Linked DNA regions of Caenorhabditis elegans. The protein of the gene in region 2 interacts with the protein of the main gene of each other region in a pairwise test. Each region holds a gene or a part of one and is shown on either strand. Other genes may lie near its edges.

Region 1 (10,451 bases), on a different chromosome or scaffold from region 2:
GAGTCGGATGATCCAGTTGCAGCCATCTCAGCGGATCTTGGTGGACATGGACAATAGGCAGCATCAGCTCCTGGAGCTCCAACCTCTCCAACATCCCCTGATGGTCCGTCTGGTCCTGGATGTCCTGGTTGTCCATCAGCTCCAGCTGGCCCTTCTGGTCCTTGTTGTCCATCTTGTCCATTCTCTCCTGGTTCTCCATCTCTTCCTGGTCCTCCTGGAGCTCCTGGTGCACCAACTGGTCCTGGTTGTCCTTGTCCACGAGTTCCGTTCTGTCCAACTGGTCCGTCCTCTCCTGGTGGTCCTGGAAGTCCTGGAGTTCCTTCATCTCCTTCTGGTCCATCTGGTCCTGGTTCTCCATCTTTTCCATTTGTTCCATCAACTCCAAAATCTCCATCTGGTCCTGGATGTCCTGGGAATCCATTTGGTCCTGGTGGTCCTGGTGGTCCAGCTGGGCACTTCACATCCTTATTGAAGTCAGCCATACGATCCCCTTCAGTTGAGTCACTTCCTGGATTTCCAGCTCTTCCAGCTGGTCCATCATCTCCTGGGGTTCCAGGATTTCCTGGTGGTCCTGGTGGTCCAGCTGGACAATCCTTTGGTTGTGGTCCACAATTGCAACCAGAAGAACCGGATGCAGATCCAGCAACTCCAGCATCTCCATATCCTCTTCTGAATCTTTTAAGGAAGGTCTCGAATGGTTGAACAGCATCTTCACGTGGAACCATTGTAGTCCAAGCATCTTCAGCAAGAGTTTTGAATTCAGCAAGATCCTCATATACTCCTGATTGGAAGGAATTAATGTCGTGAAGGACAAACAGTGCGGCAAAAATAGCTGAAAATTGAGACATTTCGTGAGCAGAATGACTTAAAAATGAATTTACCTGGAACAATAGCAACTCCGCAGAGTGCAACGGCAGTACCAGCAACCAATTGTCCAGATGTTGTCATCGTTGGATGATGTCTATTCGTAAAAATCGTTGCCATTATATACGTATCCAAAAAGCTCAAAAAAAGTAGATCTGCGTGTTGCATAATAGCCAGTTTTTCGCTTGGAAAGGATCCCCTATCCGTCTACTTTTTTCTCAATTTTTCGGCGATACACCTTCCCTTTATCGAGTGTTATTTCACATAGCAATAACCGATGGGTGTATGTGGCTTAGAATTTCAAGAAATTAATGATTTTTCTTCTTGTGGTTTGAATATTATTTGTTATATTTGTATTTTAACCATTCAGAGTTTTCATAACTTTCATGAAGGTAAATGTACGTTTCGACGAACTGTAATGCTACAATCTTCTTCCCTTGCATAACATGACAAGCTCATCATGTTTTAGAAAATTATTTCTGAAAACTCATTGGTGGCGATGCTCCAATTGTAAGAACAAACTGATACAGATAATCTGGCTGAATCATGAGAAAATACTTCAGAAACTTCTTGCTCTTCGATTTATCTGTAACTTTTCAGCAAAACAATAAAACATAGCTCTAATCTTTGTTAAATTAACTTCTCTGAATTCATACTCAATCTTTAATTAATTTAGTTGCAGTGACCTCAGCGTCCAATTCATAATCATTGTTTCTAAGACGGCACTTCCTAGAACAGTTTCATCACCGGTCTGCAATAAATGAGACAGCCGGCTGCTAGACGATAGTTGCTGCGGCCTCCGACATATCACGGGTTTCGCGCGCCACTCTAAAATGTGTTAGGTGTGCGCCGCCCCCTTGGAAACTTCTGTTTATTGTGCCGAAGGAAGATTGAAGAAATGGGGGATATTTGAAGAAAAAATCATAAAATCAGTAGATTAAAAAAAAACATGAGTAAAATCTAACATTCGTAATAGTTTTCCATATAAAATCAACAATTTTCCTGACTATGAGTAAGTTGTGGTGGCTCAAAGTGAATTGGATAGGGGAATGGCATTGGATATTGATTAAATGCATTGGAAAATGATTGATTTGGAATATAATAAGGGATAAATGGTGGATGATATTCCGAAATGAATGGACTACTTGTCGATGGTGTTTGAGGCGATTCCTGGAATTTTTACGCGTTCAATTTGAAAAATTCATGGTCAATTTTATACACATTCAGTAATTTTACAGAAAAATAAACATTAAGCTTATTCAGACGCGAAAATTCGATATTTTTAAGCCAAAAATACGGTACTTGGTGTCGGCGCGTCGCTTTTTTGTTAAATATATACATGTGTGTGCCTTTAAGGAGTACTGTAATATCAAACTATCGTTTCTGTAGCATTTTAATTAAATTTTCATCCTTTTTCATTAATAATTTTTTAATTAAAAACTATTACGGGAACAATAAATCATGAGAATGCGTACTTGGTGCATTTTATTTGACGCGCGATATCTCTTAGCGTCAAATAAAATGCACCGAGTACGCATTCTCATGATTTATTGTTCCCGTAATAACAAGTCGTAAGAATGATTTTTCGAATGAAAAATCCACGAATATTCCGCAACAACGAAAGCTTTAAATTACAGTACTCTTAAAGGCGTACAGCCGTTTTCTTGAATTTTTAAAAAAATATTTTTTCTTCACTGAATTTCCTTCACTTTCTAGGCGAGTCGTAAGCTTTTTATTTACTAGAAACATACTTTTTTCATTGATTTCTTATCACTGTCTTCGAAATTCAAATGAAAAACGTTTCCAGTTTTGCTGACGTGCGTGTTGTCCGCCGGAGTCCCATATTCAGCGAATGGAAACCTGAAAACCAATTTATATTGATTTTAATCTAGAAATTAAACTTTTTTAAACAAACCCATAAACTTCTTTTCCCTCGGAAGTCTTGAAGAATTCATCGGAAATTCCATTGTTATGAGTTGATGAAAGTGTATTTGCTGGAGGAAGCATTGGCGGTGTATCTGTCTTATTCTCACTCATCCATGACCTAAATGTGATAACTCTATTAGACGGGCATTTATCATAAGAAGCGAACCAAGATGGCATTGTATCTTTCAGTGAATGCTTCTCCTCTCCTTGACAATCCTGCTTCTCTTGACGGCGAAATTTAGCTCGGCGGTTTTGGAACCATACCTGAAACAGAAGAAAGTAAAACATTTAGAATTGAATAGGACATTTACAGAAAAGTCAGAACATAAAAGTTACCTAACGTTTATAACAATTGACCCAATTTTTTAAAATATAATATTCGTTTCTGATTTTGCGATGATTTTTTGTTGTTTTTCAAATAAGTATAACTCGAAAACTACAGTAGCTCGCAAAAAGATTTTAACTAAACAAATGTTTCCCATAATTTTTTCTACAATTTTTTTTGTTGACAAAATTTTACCATCTGCACTCTGGAAGAAATTACAGTGGAAAAAAATCACGTCCAGGTGGGAGGTTTGAGAGTTTCGTTTTTTCAAGCTTCAAAAATTCTAACGTAAACTTCCCGACCATTGCCAATTCTTTATAAAAATATTTTCTAGGCGACTTACATACTTACGCAACATTTATGATAAGTTTGTTACACCATCCATTAGTTGCACCATCCATTAGAAAACCAAAGGCTTCAATTTTCAAAACTTAAATTTCAAATGTAGATTTTGAATATCTGATTTAAAATAAAGTTCCTCCCCAATTTATTATTTTCCCATTCGACTTCTCCGCCACTATTTCCCTCATCTACCGTATACCAATTAGTAAGTTGTCAATCTCTATGCTCCCTTTGCCCCATCTTGTCCATTAAAGTGCCATGTTTTTACTTTCTTCTCTTGTTCCTCCTAACATCTTTCTTTATCCACCACCTACAGTAATCCCATCAAGAATGTGTAAACTGTCTTGATGAACGCTCGCTCTTTTTACGGGAAACTCAGTCCGCCGGAAAATTACACCAAGTATACCGAATTAGAAATAAAGGAAAAACCAACAGAAATCCGATTTTTTATTTCTCAAAGTTACTCAAAAAGCTCCGATTGTTTGACTGAAAATATTGAAAAATCTAATGATTTTCATGTGTTTTATAGATCATTATATCTTATAGAGAATATACGTTAAATGAATTGTCTAAAAATATTTTTTCGGAGCATTGTCAAATTTCATAATATAAATTGTTAATCTATAACCACCCCCCCCCCCCCCCCAATTTACAAATAGAACTTCATTTTCATTTTTTCAAAGTCCATCGTAATGTACTTCTTCACTCCCCAGCATCCATATTTTTCCTTGTATGACAACAATGTGTCGAGACTCGGCGAGGTAATCCTTAAATTGGTAGGATGTAAGTGACGGAAAAGAAAAAGAAATTTGAGAAGACAATGTCGATTAGTCAGATGCTTATCTTCTTCTTCTTCTTCTACTGTTTATTGTTTGTCCCCCTTTTGACTCAAAAATCAGAAGAGCATAAGGAAGTGTGACAGGAGTGCTAACCTGCCAATTTAACACTACTAATTGTTCCGGATGAGATCAGTTTTCACAGCTGCATGGAAAAAGGACAAGTAGGGTCATGGACAAGAGCAAATAGTTCGAATTTTAATTGTCATGAGCTCTCGAGTGGAGTTATATTCATAATTATATTAAAGAATGAAAATATGTGAATTCACTTTTGTGCCATGTATATGTTAATCTTTTACTACGCTGGATAAATTTTTTCGTAAACTAAAAAAAATTCGAAATTGAACATTACCGTATCCAAATTTGAAAATGTTTTAATTACCAAATCGCAGAGTATTTCAAATTTTCTGTTAATTTTGAGAATTACAAAAAATATCAAATTTGACAATATAAATTGTTAATCTCTATAACCCCCCCCCCCCCCCCATTTATTAGATAGCAATTCAAATTCTCGCTTTTCGAATAAAGTCGAATCTCCAAAAAAACAACAAGAGCTTCCACTGCAGTCATTTTCATATTGAACAACACTGGCTAGTCGACCGTGAATTTTCAGTTTTACTCTTGTGAATAATATATACTATTTAAAAAAAAAAAATAAGTTTTATTTCAGCAAAAAGTTAAAGCAAAAGATGTTCTAAAACAAAGAGGCACTATTGTAAAAATAATAAGTTCTTGGTGACCCGTAAATTTTCAGATTCAAGGAAACCTCCGTTTTTTTGCGATTTACCAGAACTGATTCATATGTTACAATATAATTTTTTAAAATTTCATATTGAAGACGGAATGCCAAAATATTCTCAAAATGGAAATTTTAGATTTGCCAAAATAGTCAGTCTAGTTTTGGTACATTGCAAAAAAATTGTGTTGGTTATTCTGGTAAACTTAAAAAATTGATATGTGAAAACTGATTAAATTCTGTTTTTAATTTAACAGTAAATAATAAAATTTCAATATTTTTCGCTGCTCTACTCTCAGATAAAAAATATGTTCTCACCTGAACTCGAACCTCTGGCAATTGAACTTTAGCAGCCAATGTTTCTCTTGCATAAACATCTGGATAATGAGTTTTATCAAATGCAGCTTCAAGAGCATGAAGTTGAAATGTCGTGAATGTTGTACGATTTCTACGTTGCTTCTTGTCTGCTATCTTATCTCGATTCTTTCGTGATGATGATGATTTTGATGGAGAAGAATCAGATTCAAATGAAGAAAATGAGTCGGATGGTTTGTATGTTGTAAATGAGGAAAACGCCGAAACTGAAAAAAAAAATGAGATGAGTTTAGGAAAAAGTTGAATAATTGCTTTCGAGAAACATTTGATTTCTGAAATTTACGATGGCTTATTGTATGAATGGTTTAATTTCGAATAAAAGGGTTTATGTGCTTTTTTACGGAAGAATTTTCTCTAGAAACGGATAATCGCATTTTCAATGTCAGTTTTTTAATCCGCAACGACGAGGAGTTGGGAACTACAGTACTGAAAACTGCCAGAAAATCCGGTACGATTGCCGGAAATTTTGGGCTTAAATCGGTCGTATCGAGACCGTGTACCGCATTCTTCTGGCAAAATTTAGAATCTGGGTGATATTTATTCTGATAAGTAATAAGAATCGTTACCATCAGTCCAAAATCCAGGATAATAAAATCCCTTTGGAATGTTCATTAAAGAAATAAATACCTAATATGTTTTTAATTCAGATTTGTTGTTTAGAAATGTAAAATGAGAATGCGTATTTTGGCGCATATCTCACCTGATAGCCTTGGAAAAGAAACGTATGCTTTTCACATGACTTTTCTTCCAGCAGCTTCTCGAGGTCATTTGGGGATTACTCATTTTATTAGAGAACTTTTGTTAGCGTTGGTAGGTTGTGTTGACAAGACTTCATATCAGTTAAAGTTTACTATTTTGATTGAAAAACTTGGAGTATTTTATAGTATTTTAGTTTAAGAAATTTGAGAGCGAGAAAGAAAATTAGATTTGATTGATCTAGCTTGAGATGCTGATAATACTTTAAAAGTATCAGTTCAAACATGCATCCCTGAAAAGTGAAAAAAAAGTGAAAACGTAACCTTTAAGCTCGTGTTTTGCAATGTGGCGTTAAGGTTCTACTGCATGATGTATTAAAATTTCAAGAAAAATGCTTGTTGGGAACCCCGACGGACAAAGTTTTAATACTCTTTCACAGTTAAATTCGAATCTAGATTTCTCATTAACATTTCTCATTAATCTAAAAAACAGAGATTTTGATTTTTTTTTAAATTTTGAAATTAAATCAAACGTTCTTGAACATATCCGACAAATCAAGCATATGAATAATCTCCAATTTTCAAACGAAAAAAAAACAACTAAAATTCCATTCAATTAGAGGGGGTGGAGGTGGAGCCCCAAAAAAGCTCGCAAATCGAATTTGGAAATAATTTGGATATAATTTGACAAAATAGGTGAATTGAATTACCAAATTTGTAGAGACTTCAAACATCAAAAACTCACAATTTGGTGTTATCGATGACGTGGCAGAGTTGTTGTCAGTTGGATTGCTCATCCCGGATGACAGGACAGGAAAAATTGAGGGCAGCAGGGTGGCAGAATATATTGGGGAGGAGATTGACTCCAGTTTTCTAGGGGGGAATATTTTGGAGCGAGGGGAGGAGCCATCCAATAAAAGAAATCTAAAGAAGAACTGTGTGATGGGAAGCAGCAAAGGGAACAAGCTGGAATATCGGGAGGAAACCATAAATTGTCATCATAAAATTTATATTTCGTGCTCCTTCCTCAATCAGGTCGCATGCTTTATGTTCAAGGGAATTCAATGCTTAAATAAATACAGTATGCGTTTTGGCACATGTTCAGCATATCGGGAAAAACGTTTCTAGCTGGTTAAGTGTCTTTTGAAGTAGGGATTTATCAAAAATTGGTCAAATTGCAAACCATAAAAGTTTTTCTACATTAAATAAGTTGCTATGCTTGCAACATTTTATACTAAACAGCTTACAACCTACGTGATATTTTTTCCCAATTGTAATAAAACACAGCGTCTCTTAGAGGCATTTATGTAACCGTACAACACCTTTTGCTCAGTTGAAAAATGTCCCGTAGGCCAAATGTATATATATATATATATATATAGGGTGCGCCAAAAGTATGGTAACACGTGAAGCGCTCTTTTAAATGGGTTTTTTCGCGCGACTGCCACTTCACACGTACAATTTTCTATAGAATACTGATAGCTGAATAAATTTCCTTCAATTTGACCTAAAATTTGTAATGTTTCCCAATAAGGTGCAATCTTTATCGCCTCGGCAATTTGACGATCCCTGTCGCCGAAACGGTGTTTTGGCACGCGGCACCTCCAACACAAACGCACCTCCGACGGACGCCAATAATTTTCAGATGTATGATTTTCATGTTAAATCCAAAGTTTAAAAAGTTAAGAAGCGTTTTTGATTGTTTTCGTAGCATATAAAAATTTTATGTGTCGACACTGGCGCCTAGCAAGAACCTTTGAATATTTCATGAAATCAACTTTGCGAAATTTACTCAGTTTTTTTTTGTCTTCACAAGGTGTAACGACTCACAAAATCATCCGAGCTCAATCTTCTATAAAAATTCTTGAAAGTCAGATCAAAACGTGTCGAAAAGTACTAAAATTAATTTTCTTGGATACTGCTGCCGCCGCCCACATCCACCTTTCTGGCGACTGTATCATTCAAGGCGTCTTTGTCATTCAAAGTACTGCCACAGTCATACCATGACAGAACTTTTTTGGATTTTTGTTTTTTAGGAATCTCTAGACCAAGAGCATTCTTTGAACTATAAAAACTTGTAAGACACTTGTGGATTCCTCGAGAAAAAGTGTAGAAATCCCGCAGAGTGCCTACTTGCGTGCCAAAAAATTGAGATCTCAAAAGTTCTGAGGTCCTGCAGCGATGCGGATGGGGATATTTTGAAAATTCAAAACGTTAATCGCACCCTGTATATATAATCCATCATATAGATCAATTTTCATGTAACCTATCGTATCGAATTAGCAGCTAAGCAACTAAGCCTAAGGACCTAGGTCTGGTGACCATGCTTTACTTCGGTTTTTTAAAGTATTCATCTTTGTTCTTTTTAATATTGTATCGTATATTTTTTTAATTTTTAACTTACACATAGACTGCGATGCGTTCTTGAAGGGATATTCTGTGCTTGATTGGAAGAAGAGTTATTACAGTATCTAACACTGTCCACGAATTCCAGAAATTAATTTTTTGCCTTATTTTATCATCTTTTTAAGTACTTCTTGTTTTAAAATATTAGATTGCTGGCCTCGATCTCCATCGGGTTGTTGCAAAAACCTCGTATCTCTGAACTCGTGACTTTTACATTTGTTTATCATAAACTCCGAAACCTACCTTCCGTATACTCCCTGGATAATTAAAACCCCACCAAATATCACTATAGATGCATTACTTTCATAATTTTCACACATGATCTCGACGATAATGTGGTCAAGCTACACAAAAACATTTCGATTGGGTTAGTTATTTAGTGGGACCGTTATCTTTGTTGCGTTTACGGAACGAAAATACGGTACCCGGTCTCGACACGATCGAACAATTTTAAATTAAAACGATTGTGCGCCTTTAAGGTGTACAGTAGTTTTCCCACTTCGCTATTTCCCAATTTTTAGATTTTTCTCGTTTTCTATTTCAAAACGTCTAACTTCTGTTATTCACATTAAATAGCAAGTGTTTAAATTTTAAAAAAAAGTCGAAGAAAAGTACTGTACACTTTAAAGGCGCACACTCTTTTTCATTTAAAATAATTCGGTCGTGTCGAGATCATTTATTTCACAGAGATATGAAAAATATTGCTTCGGGGAGCCAATTATGAAATTGAATGGGAGAATCAAAGTGAAAGTATGAACACAACAAGAAATTCAATTGAAGTGAAAATGGATTACTGTAAATTATTGAAATATCGTGTGAATTTGTAATTTTCTTGAATTTTTGTTTCTCATTGATTCAACAGTTTTAAGGTCGACAACGCGTATTTACTGATAAAAGCCTTGCTACCCAATGATCGCGTGTAAATTTTATGAATAAGACTTAAATATATGATAATGAATTTATATAAATAAAACAAAAACAGAACATTAACAGTTACTTAATTAAAGGAGAAACCAGTAAACGAGGCAATAGAGGGGATGTAAGACGATTTTACAAAAAGTTTAAATTTCAGGATTTTAATTAACACACAAAAGGAGGACTAGAATTTTGAAAATATTCACATTGATAATATTTATTTTCTGCCCACAGTCCGGCGAATTGGGGAGGCCAAGAATCCGGCTGGATAGAGCATGCGGTAGGTCACAAACCAGCAAACGACAGCGGCCACAGCTCCGAGAATCTGAAAAATAGGGAAATTGAGTAATTAAATTTTTGAAGAATACAAATTGTTATTCTGAGATGCAAAATATGATTACCTCTTCAATGAAGATATGATAATAAAGAACGGAGATGATAATTTGCTTGAACCAGAATGCATGAAGGAACAACATTGCGACGAAGAAATATTGAATGCATCGAGTCAAACGATCATGTTCTTCACGATCACCGTCCATTTGATGAACTGCATCAGTTACTTGTTGATAATGACGGTAAGCAATCGCCTGTAAACATTCCCATATTGTTTTCTGAAACCTTTTTTTCTTTATACCTCCTCAGTGATAATCAGAATACTGTAGATCATCAAGAAGCAGTGACCTGAAATATCATATCCTGGCGTCCAGACACCTTCTTTTTCGGAACACTGAGCACGAGTCAGAGTACGTCCTTTGTCACACATTGAGGTTAGTGCAAGAACTTTGTGGAAACTGAAAACTTTTTCGTTTAAGTAAGAATTATTGCATAAAGCTTACAATTGCACAGAAAAGTACCAACACGCGGTTCCCACTCCAAGACGGCACACATCAACGATTGGTTGATCACGATCACGACGATTGTGAGCTTTTGAAGAGAACCTGCAAACTTTATGGTTTTCGAAACAAAAATATTTGCATATTATAACAAAATACTAGATTCTGATTAACTTCTGCAAGAAAAGAGAGAAACAT
Region 2 (7,338 bases):
GTGGTATAACTAGAACTTTTAATTGACACCTTACAATTCAAGATTTAGGTAGATAAAAATTTTCTAGATAATACTAACAATTTAGACATTAAAAGGAAAGGAATAATGTGTCAGAGGGTGTTATACCAAAATTTCAACTAGAATTGAAATGTATATTCTCTGAAGTTAAATATGCTCAAAACGGTGTCAGGTGATAAAAGAATTTGAAATAATTGAATCGTTAATTTAAAGAATTCTCGCATGATTTATAGATTTTAAATTTAAAATATTCATTATTAGATTTTACTTATAATAAGATTCAATGTGTTTTAATGTCTGTTTCTCCCTATCAACTTTATATAACTTATTTTTCTTATTAGAATTGAACCTTCAATGCTTTACCTTTACGCCTTAGATGTATATCCGCTTTCTTTAGTGTTATCAAAAATTGGTCATTTATTAAAAAATAGAGAAATATTTTTCAAGTGTTTTGTTAATTGAAAGTTTTTTGATAAGCCCAAAGAGAGCCGGAATAGAAAAGCAATAATTTTTCAAAATTTTGTATTAGAAGTTTCCTAGATCAAATAAGAATCCTACCTTGGTCAAGCCCAATTTCCATTGGCAGAACACTTAAAAATTCTCCAGTAAAGTCACTTTCTCTACTATTCTCGTTTTCCACTTCGACTTCTTCTTCGTAATCTTTTTCACCGAGTAGATAAACTGACATATTCAGATAGTTCGTAGTACAAATGGGGTAGACAAAACCTCACACAAATGGTTCTTCGTATTCTGCGATTTAACAGAGAAAAGAAGTGAGCGTGAGAGCAGCAAAAGGAGCCATATGTGGGTATGTGCATGAAGCTGTGCTATTATCATATCTCTAGGTTCTCTTACTTCCTCTAGACTCGCCACCACACCTTTGATTATCTATCCGTCCGTTATCTCATATTTATTTTCTTTTAAATTTTACGGGTATACTGCGTCGAAAACTAATTAGTCAAGAATCTGCGCGAGCTGGCCTCATCATTTCTGGCAATGCCAACAGGTGGTTGATTGAAACTCACCATCTCCCACGGTACCATCATTTAGGTTAGAACATTGAAATGAGACTGGCAATGATTTCTTGAGCATCTTGATATTTGGCTTCACATCTTCAGGCTCCATTTTCTTACGAGGTGTTCCAGACGAAGAAGACCTTGTGCTTATTGTATTGTGAGTTTCTTTTGATAATCTGAAAATTTGAACTACTTGTGCATTAAATTTGACTCTAGGATTTGAATTTTAGCATGTCGAAAAGACATGGGATATGAAAAATTAACAAATAAACTAAATAGTAGTAGTATGAGATGACAAAAGTGGGGGGAAGCGGATGCGAGGTTTTCATTATTCCCCGTATCCATGGAAACGCAGAAAGGGACTCCGAATCGGGCTTCTGTTATCACTCCACCCACTCCAAGCCGACAAGCACACCACTCCACCCGCCACTAGTTCTCCTCTTAATTGGCACGAGTTCACGAGATATTTTGGAATTTAGAAAGAACTCGTGCTTCTTCTAATTTACCTTTAATGTGAGTTTTTCTCAATTTTCAATTTCACTATTACTAATTCGGAATACCGAATTCCCTCTATTAAAGTTGCACCCCCTGCAAGCCAATCGAAAACTTGCAGCATCTAATCATCTTGAACTGACTTTTCTTGAGCTGACACCCCCGAATTTTTATTTAATTTTGGAGCATTTACAGCCTAATATTTAGCAAATTACCAAATTTACGGAAACAATTTTTTGTCGATTTCCAAAATTATGATTGGCAAAAACTGAGTTTTTTAATCTCAAGTTTTGACTGCAAATTAAAAAAATTGGAATTTTTCCCTTTAACCTTCAAGTTCTGTTTTTATTCATCTGCATTTGTTTTTTTTTTCCGACACATTATTTTGTGGATTTTTCTAATTAAAGATCACATTTCTAATCTTATCCAAAATCATTTTCCATCAAGCGATGTGATCAGATTTTTCTTTTAAAAAATAGGAAACTTCAATTATATTTTGTGGTAATTCTGGTACTTCAAACATTCGGAAATAAAATCATAGTCCTAAATAAGTTTTCTGTTCTTTCAGAGAATTGTTTTTAAAAAATTTCATTGATTTTTTAAATTATAAAAAAATTAAGAATTCTGGGAATATTTTAAAATCGTTCTCGTATCTTTAAAATATCATTGAAGCTTTTCTGAACAAAAATAAAACTTCATTTTCTCAACCAATTTCATTTACTTAAATTAAATAATTGTCTGAAAACTTTCAGACAGACTTTATATGTTTCAATATGCTTGTATGCAGCTATAGTAAATTTTTTAAACTCAAATCGATCTGTTTCAGTTTTTGATTAAAACTTCAGTTAAAATCATTTTTCCATACAACTCCTTTTGAACTGTGCACTTTTTCAAAGTTTGGAATATTTCAATTTCAAGTTTTCAAAATTCTATCTGTTACTGTAGCTGATAATCATGTTATACTTTAGTTTTTTTTTTTTTAATATTACTAATGTTTTGAAAATCCTACATTTTCATGTAAAATTTAATTTCCTTTTCTTACTCTTTTATCGTTTCATTATTTTTCGTTGTCGTTTTATTCCAGCTAATTTGTTTTTATTTTCAGAAAACTTCCCGCTTTTGGTCACGTTCACACACCGGGTGCTTCACCATCTTTTTCATAATTTCTTGTTCATATCTTTGTGCTCTTCTTTCTACTTTCTCTCACTTTGCTCTTCGTTTTGGGTCTGAGAGTATAGCATAGACAAACCGACCACTACTCTACGCTAATTTATGCCCTCGCCAATTCTCCAGAGAGAAAAGATGCAAAGCCAGGAGCAGATGAAGAGAGAGAGGAACCAAAGTAGAGAGGAAGTGTGAAGATGAGAACGTTAGTTCCTCAACTTTAAACACATTTTACAAAACGCTCCATTGATAGTCAATTTGTTGGTTGTTGAAAGAAAAAACTTACGATTTTGAATCTTTGGATGCAGATCGAAGTTTTCTTTCTCCAGATGGATGTGTTTCTAGAGGCTCTTCTTTAATCGTTTTTTCAGACTTTTCAGATTTCTCCGGTGATTTTTGATTTTCGACATCTTTAAATTTCTTCCTCCAAAGTGCATCAATATCAAGTCCTTTTCGCTTCCTTGAAGGAGTCTCTCTGAAAAAATTGGTTATTGTTTTAAAGTGACCACAACTTTCAAAGCTTCAAAAATATTTCACAAGATTATATACTTTGCCAGCCTTCAAGAAAACCTAGGCCTGCTTGGAGCCTATTGTGCGCATTTTTAAAAGACCTTTCGATAAATTGATTGATTTGAAAATTAACTTAAGAAGTTCGGATTAAAATCTACATTATCAAAAACATGAAAATACCGGAGTTCACGCAAAATTGCAGTACATTTCGATAGGCAGGCACATACACCTAGAGCCTTCTTGCCTAAGCATAAACTGAATTATGTCCTAAAGAAATACATTTGTAGAAAAAAAGCCAAATATCCTAATTAAACACTACAAAAATTTCGATTTTTTTTTTGAATTTTGAAAAATCTGAAAACCTTCCGAAGTTAGTAAATTGCCAAATGTTCCGAAATTGTGAAATTGATGCCGGTTCAAATTTCTAGAACGTTCTAATTAAAATATAAAACTCGTAGAAATTTTGATTTTTTTGGTCGATTTTCAAAATTATGACAAAGTTTTCACCACTTTTTTGACTGTAAATAAAAAAAACCAAAAGTTTTGCTATAATTTTTGAACATTTAAGCACTATAGTAGTTGTTCTACGAAACGCATTTTTCAAAACTGTAAGTTTCGGTGATTTTTTTTTTGAAATATTATACATTTATTTTGATAAATAAAGTATTTTTCCTACTTCCTTCCTCATTTACTTAATTTTCTTCTTTTTTTTCTTAAACAGTTTTTTTCTTGTCATGTCACACTTTTTTTTGCTGTATCTTTTTTTTCTCCAATTCAATGTTCCTATGGCCACCCAACGACGACACCGTGTGAAGGTCATTCATCTCTTTCTCGAAAATGGAAATAATGGGAAAAAAGTGATGGGATGGGAGAATTTGATATGATAAGATATGGGGTTTTTCTCGCACAGGTGGTCGTACAGACTTTCAGCCGATTTTTGCAGATAGACTACTCACATCTTCACGTTTTTCTCGGCTGCACTGAGCACACTGCTCGTCGATGGCACCGGCTCCTCATTGGTCATGACTTTCTTCTCTGCCGCACCACCCCTGAAACTAGACATTTACAGAGAGAGACCCAGACGATGTTGCATTTAGTCTCTTGGATAATTTGGAAGTAGTTTCCATGGAAACCAAAATTGTAAAAGAAGCCGAGATGAAGCCGGAAAAGCAGCTAGAGAAAAGCAAAGGTGGCCTAGAGAGAGAGTTAGGGAGGGGGGAACGAAACTAAGTTGCTGCGTCGATAAAATATGTGCGGCAGCGGGGAGTGTCTCCTCGTTGCCTGGGGGAGTGTACGTGAGTGAGTGAGAGAGTGTCTGTCTGTGTGAGTGTGTGTGGTGCGAGTGTGTGTGTCTCAGTTGTGTGTGTGTTGTTGTGGGTGAAGAGATGGGACGAAAAGGAGATATGTGTGTGTGCCTAGGGCCCCTCTCAACAATGGAACATCACTTCTTCCCTGCTTCTCCTTCTTAAAAGTATTTCTTTAAGGGCCCCCGAGGTTGGGAAGAAGGTGGCTCGGCGCTTGCATAGGAACGGAAGCTGAAAACTAGGACATATTCCTCACAGACTGGCGAATCTGAAAAATAAATACCGTAACATGTATCAGTATCACAATAGTTTTTTTTTCAAATTTCAAGTATTTCAAGTAACATGAAACATTCAACATGTTTGAGAGTTAATAATATAATATACCTAGGTTACTTATTTTATTAAATTTCCTTCTTCAAACATACCTGTTAAAAACAATCAGACATCCCAAAAAAACTCTGAAATGTTCTGTCAAAGTCATGTTTAAAAGTTTGAAACTACAAAGATGTTGCAAGAATACGGTCTTGCAACGATCGGAAGTTTGTTACTGAAAGCTGTGAACCGCGACAATTAAGAACTATTGTAGTTACTTATTAAAAATGTACACTCTTTTTTGGAGAAACCGTTTAAAAATTCAAGGTCGTGTCGAGACCTGATACTGTATTTTTGCTTTATAAATTGTAATATTCTTAATCTGGATGATTAATACAGTTTACATATTACCGGAACACAAAATTCTAAAAATTCGTACTGTGCAACATATTTGACGCTTTAAATATCTCGTAGCGAGAACTACAGCTGTATACAGTAATTCTTTAAATGACTACTGTAGCGCTTGTGTCGATTTACGGGCTCGATTTATGAAATTAATTTAATTTCGAACAGCGACATTCTTTTTTCATTCGTTTCTCATTTTTTGCTTAATTTTAGTATTCTATAGATAAATAAATTATTTTAATCCATTCGAGCCCGTAAATAATATGCATTCTCAGAATTTTGTGTTCCCGTAATAAACTATGAGTTACAATTTTCGATTTCAAGACATACCGTACCCAAGTTTATCAGAGAGCGGCACAAAATCGGTTTTCCTGTTGAAAATAGCTAAAAATCAACAATTATTGTCTTATATCCATAGATATAAAACAATGCATATTATATTTATTTTTTTCTTCAGAAAAGAAACGAAAATATTTTATTTTCACATTTTTATATTCAGTTTTTGCATAGTTTTTCTTTTTTATTTCTAGATTACACTTAAAAGCTGATAAATTTAGTGTTATTCTCGATTTTTCGGAATAAAAATTCATTTTCAATAATTTTTGATCTTCTCTTTATTTTTGAAGAAAAATTATTGATTTTTTTCCACCAGAATTTTCAATTTTAAAGGGATGACCAAATTTAAAAACCACGGGTCTCGCAACGAATATGAAAAATATTTTTGCGCTTTGCAGACGCGCACGAGCGGCAAGTTTTCAATTTTCTGCAGTTGTTCACCAATCTAGATTTCTTTTTCATCATTTATTCTCTTTTTCTTCCCGATGCGGTTGATTTTGCTTTGCTCTCTTTGCTTCAATCTGAATTTTCGCCATTTTTATTCAGATTTGTTCCTTCTTAAGCTATTACTTCTTGTGAATCTTCCGTCAAAATTTCATTCAAGTTTTCTTACAGACTCAAAAAAATGTCGAAAGCCAACGTCGGAATCAACGGTTTCGGAAGAATCGGACGTCTCGTGCTCCGCGCGGCTGTCGAAAAGGACACGGTTCAAGTGGTCGCCGTCAACGATCCGTTTATCACAATCGACTACATGGTCTACCTTTTCAAGTATGACTCGACCCACGGTCAATTCAAAGGAACTGTTACCTACGATGGAGACTTTCTGATTGTCCAGAAAGATGGCAAATCATCGCACAAGATCAAGGTCTTCAACAGCAAGGATCCAGCTGCCATCGCATGGGGATCAGTCAAAGCCGATTTCGTTGTCGAGTCTACTGGAGTTTTCACGACAAAGGAAAAGGCCTCTGCCCATCTTCAAGGAGGAGCCAAGAAGGTCATCATCTCTGCTCCATCTGCTGATGCTCCAATGTACGTGGTTGGAGTAAACCATGAGAAGTACGACGCTTCGAATGATCACGTTATTTCTAACGCATCGTGCACCACCAACTGTCTGGCACCACTGGCGAAGGTTATCAATGATAACTTCGGTATGATCATCATCAAATCAATTTGTTTTTTTCTAATTTATTTTATTTTCAGGTATCATCGAAGGACTCATGACGACAGTGCACGCTGTAACCGCAACCCAGAAGACAGTCGATGGACCATCCGGAAAGCTGTGGAGAGATGGACGCGGTGCTGGACAAAACATCATTCCAGCTTCCACTGGAGCCGCCAAGGCTGTGGGAAAAGTCATTCCGGAGCTGAACGGAAAGCTCACTGGAATGGCTTTCCGTGTCCCTACACCAGATGTTTCCGTCGTTGATCTGACCGTTCGCCTCGAGAAACCAGCTTCGATGGATGACATCAAGAAGGTAGTCAAGGCCGCTGCCGATGGACCAATGAAGGGAATCCTCGCCTACACCGAAGATCAAGTTGTGTCGACTGACTTCGTGTCCGACCCTCACTCGTCCATTTTCGATACTGGAGCATGCATTTCGCTCAACCCGAACTTCGTCAAGCTCGTCTCTTGGTAACCACTGAATTTTTAAAAAATGTATTTTAAATTTATTTTTTACAGGTACGACAATGAATATGGATACTCGAACCGTGTTGTCGACCTCATCGGATACATCGCCACCCGTGGATAATTCTATCAGGATCTTTTATGTATAATCCAT

What was found.
Region 1: the proteins of daf-19 (region 2) and ceh-8 interact in a two-hybrid assay, tested with the Caenorhabditis elegans proteins (one large-scale study listed by BioGRID).

Annotation. Positions count from the first base shown.
Region 1 is NC_003279.8:8,244,001-8,254,451, forward strand, and holds ceh-8 (Homeobox protein ceh-8), read right to left. Parts: upstream 6,949-10,451; 5' UTR 6,897-6,948; coding exon 6,845-6,896; intron 6,051-6,844; exon of another isoform or gene 6,017-6,050; coding exon of another isoform or gene 5,971-6,016; intron 5,611-5,970; coding exon 5,348-5,610; intron 3,055-5,347; coding exon 2,957-3,054; intron 2,909-2,956; coding exon 2,780-2,908; intron 2,725-2,779; coding exon 2,616-2,724; intron 2,035-2,615; coding exon 1,855-2,034; 3' UTR 1,505-1,854; downstream 1-1,504. Other genes in the region: col-63 (Nematode cuticle collagen N-terminal domain-containing protein), read right to left, coding at 1-832, 882-948; fitm-2 (Acyl-coenzyme A diphosphatase FITM2), read right to left, coding at 9,638-9,745, 9,822-10,007, 10,055-10,211, 10,257-10,358.
Region 2 is NC_003280.10:10,165,098-10,172,435, forward strand, and holds the start of daf-19 (RFX-like transcription factor daf-19), read right to left. Parts: upstream 4,249-7,338; 5' UTR 4,225-4,248; coding exon 4,157-4,224; intron 3,166-4,156; coding exon 2,977-3,165; intron 1,211-2,976; coding exon 1,044-1,210; intron 1-1,043. Other genes in the region: gpd-4 (Glyceraldehyde-3-phosphate dehydrogenase 4), read left to right, coding at 6,183-6,705, 6,758-7,190, 7,239-7,308. UniProt on the Caenorhabditis elegans protein: Probable transcription factor. May regulate some genes of ciliated sensory neurons. May activate the expression of the shared components of sensory cilia, but not the cell-type-specific expression.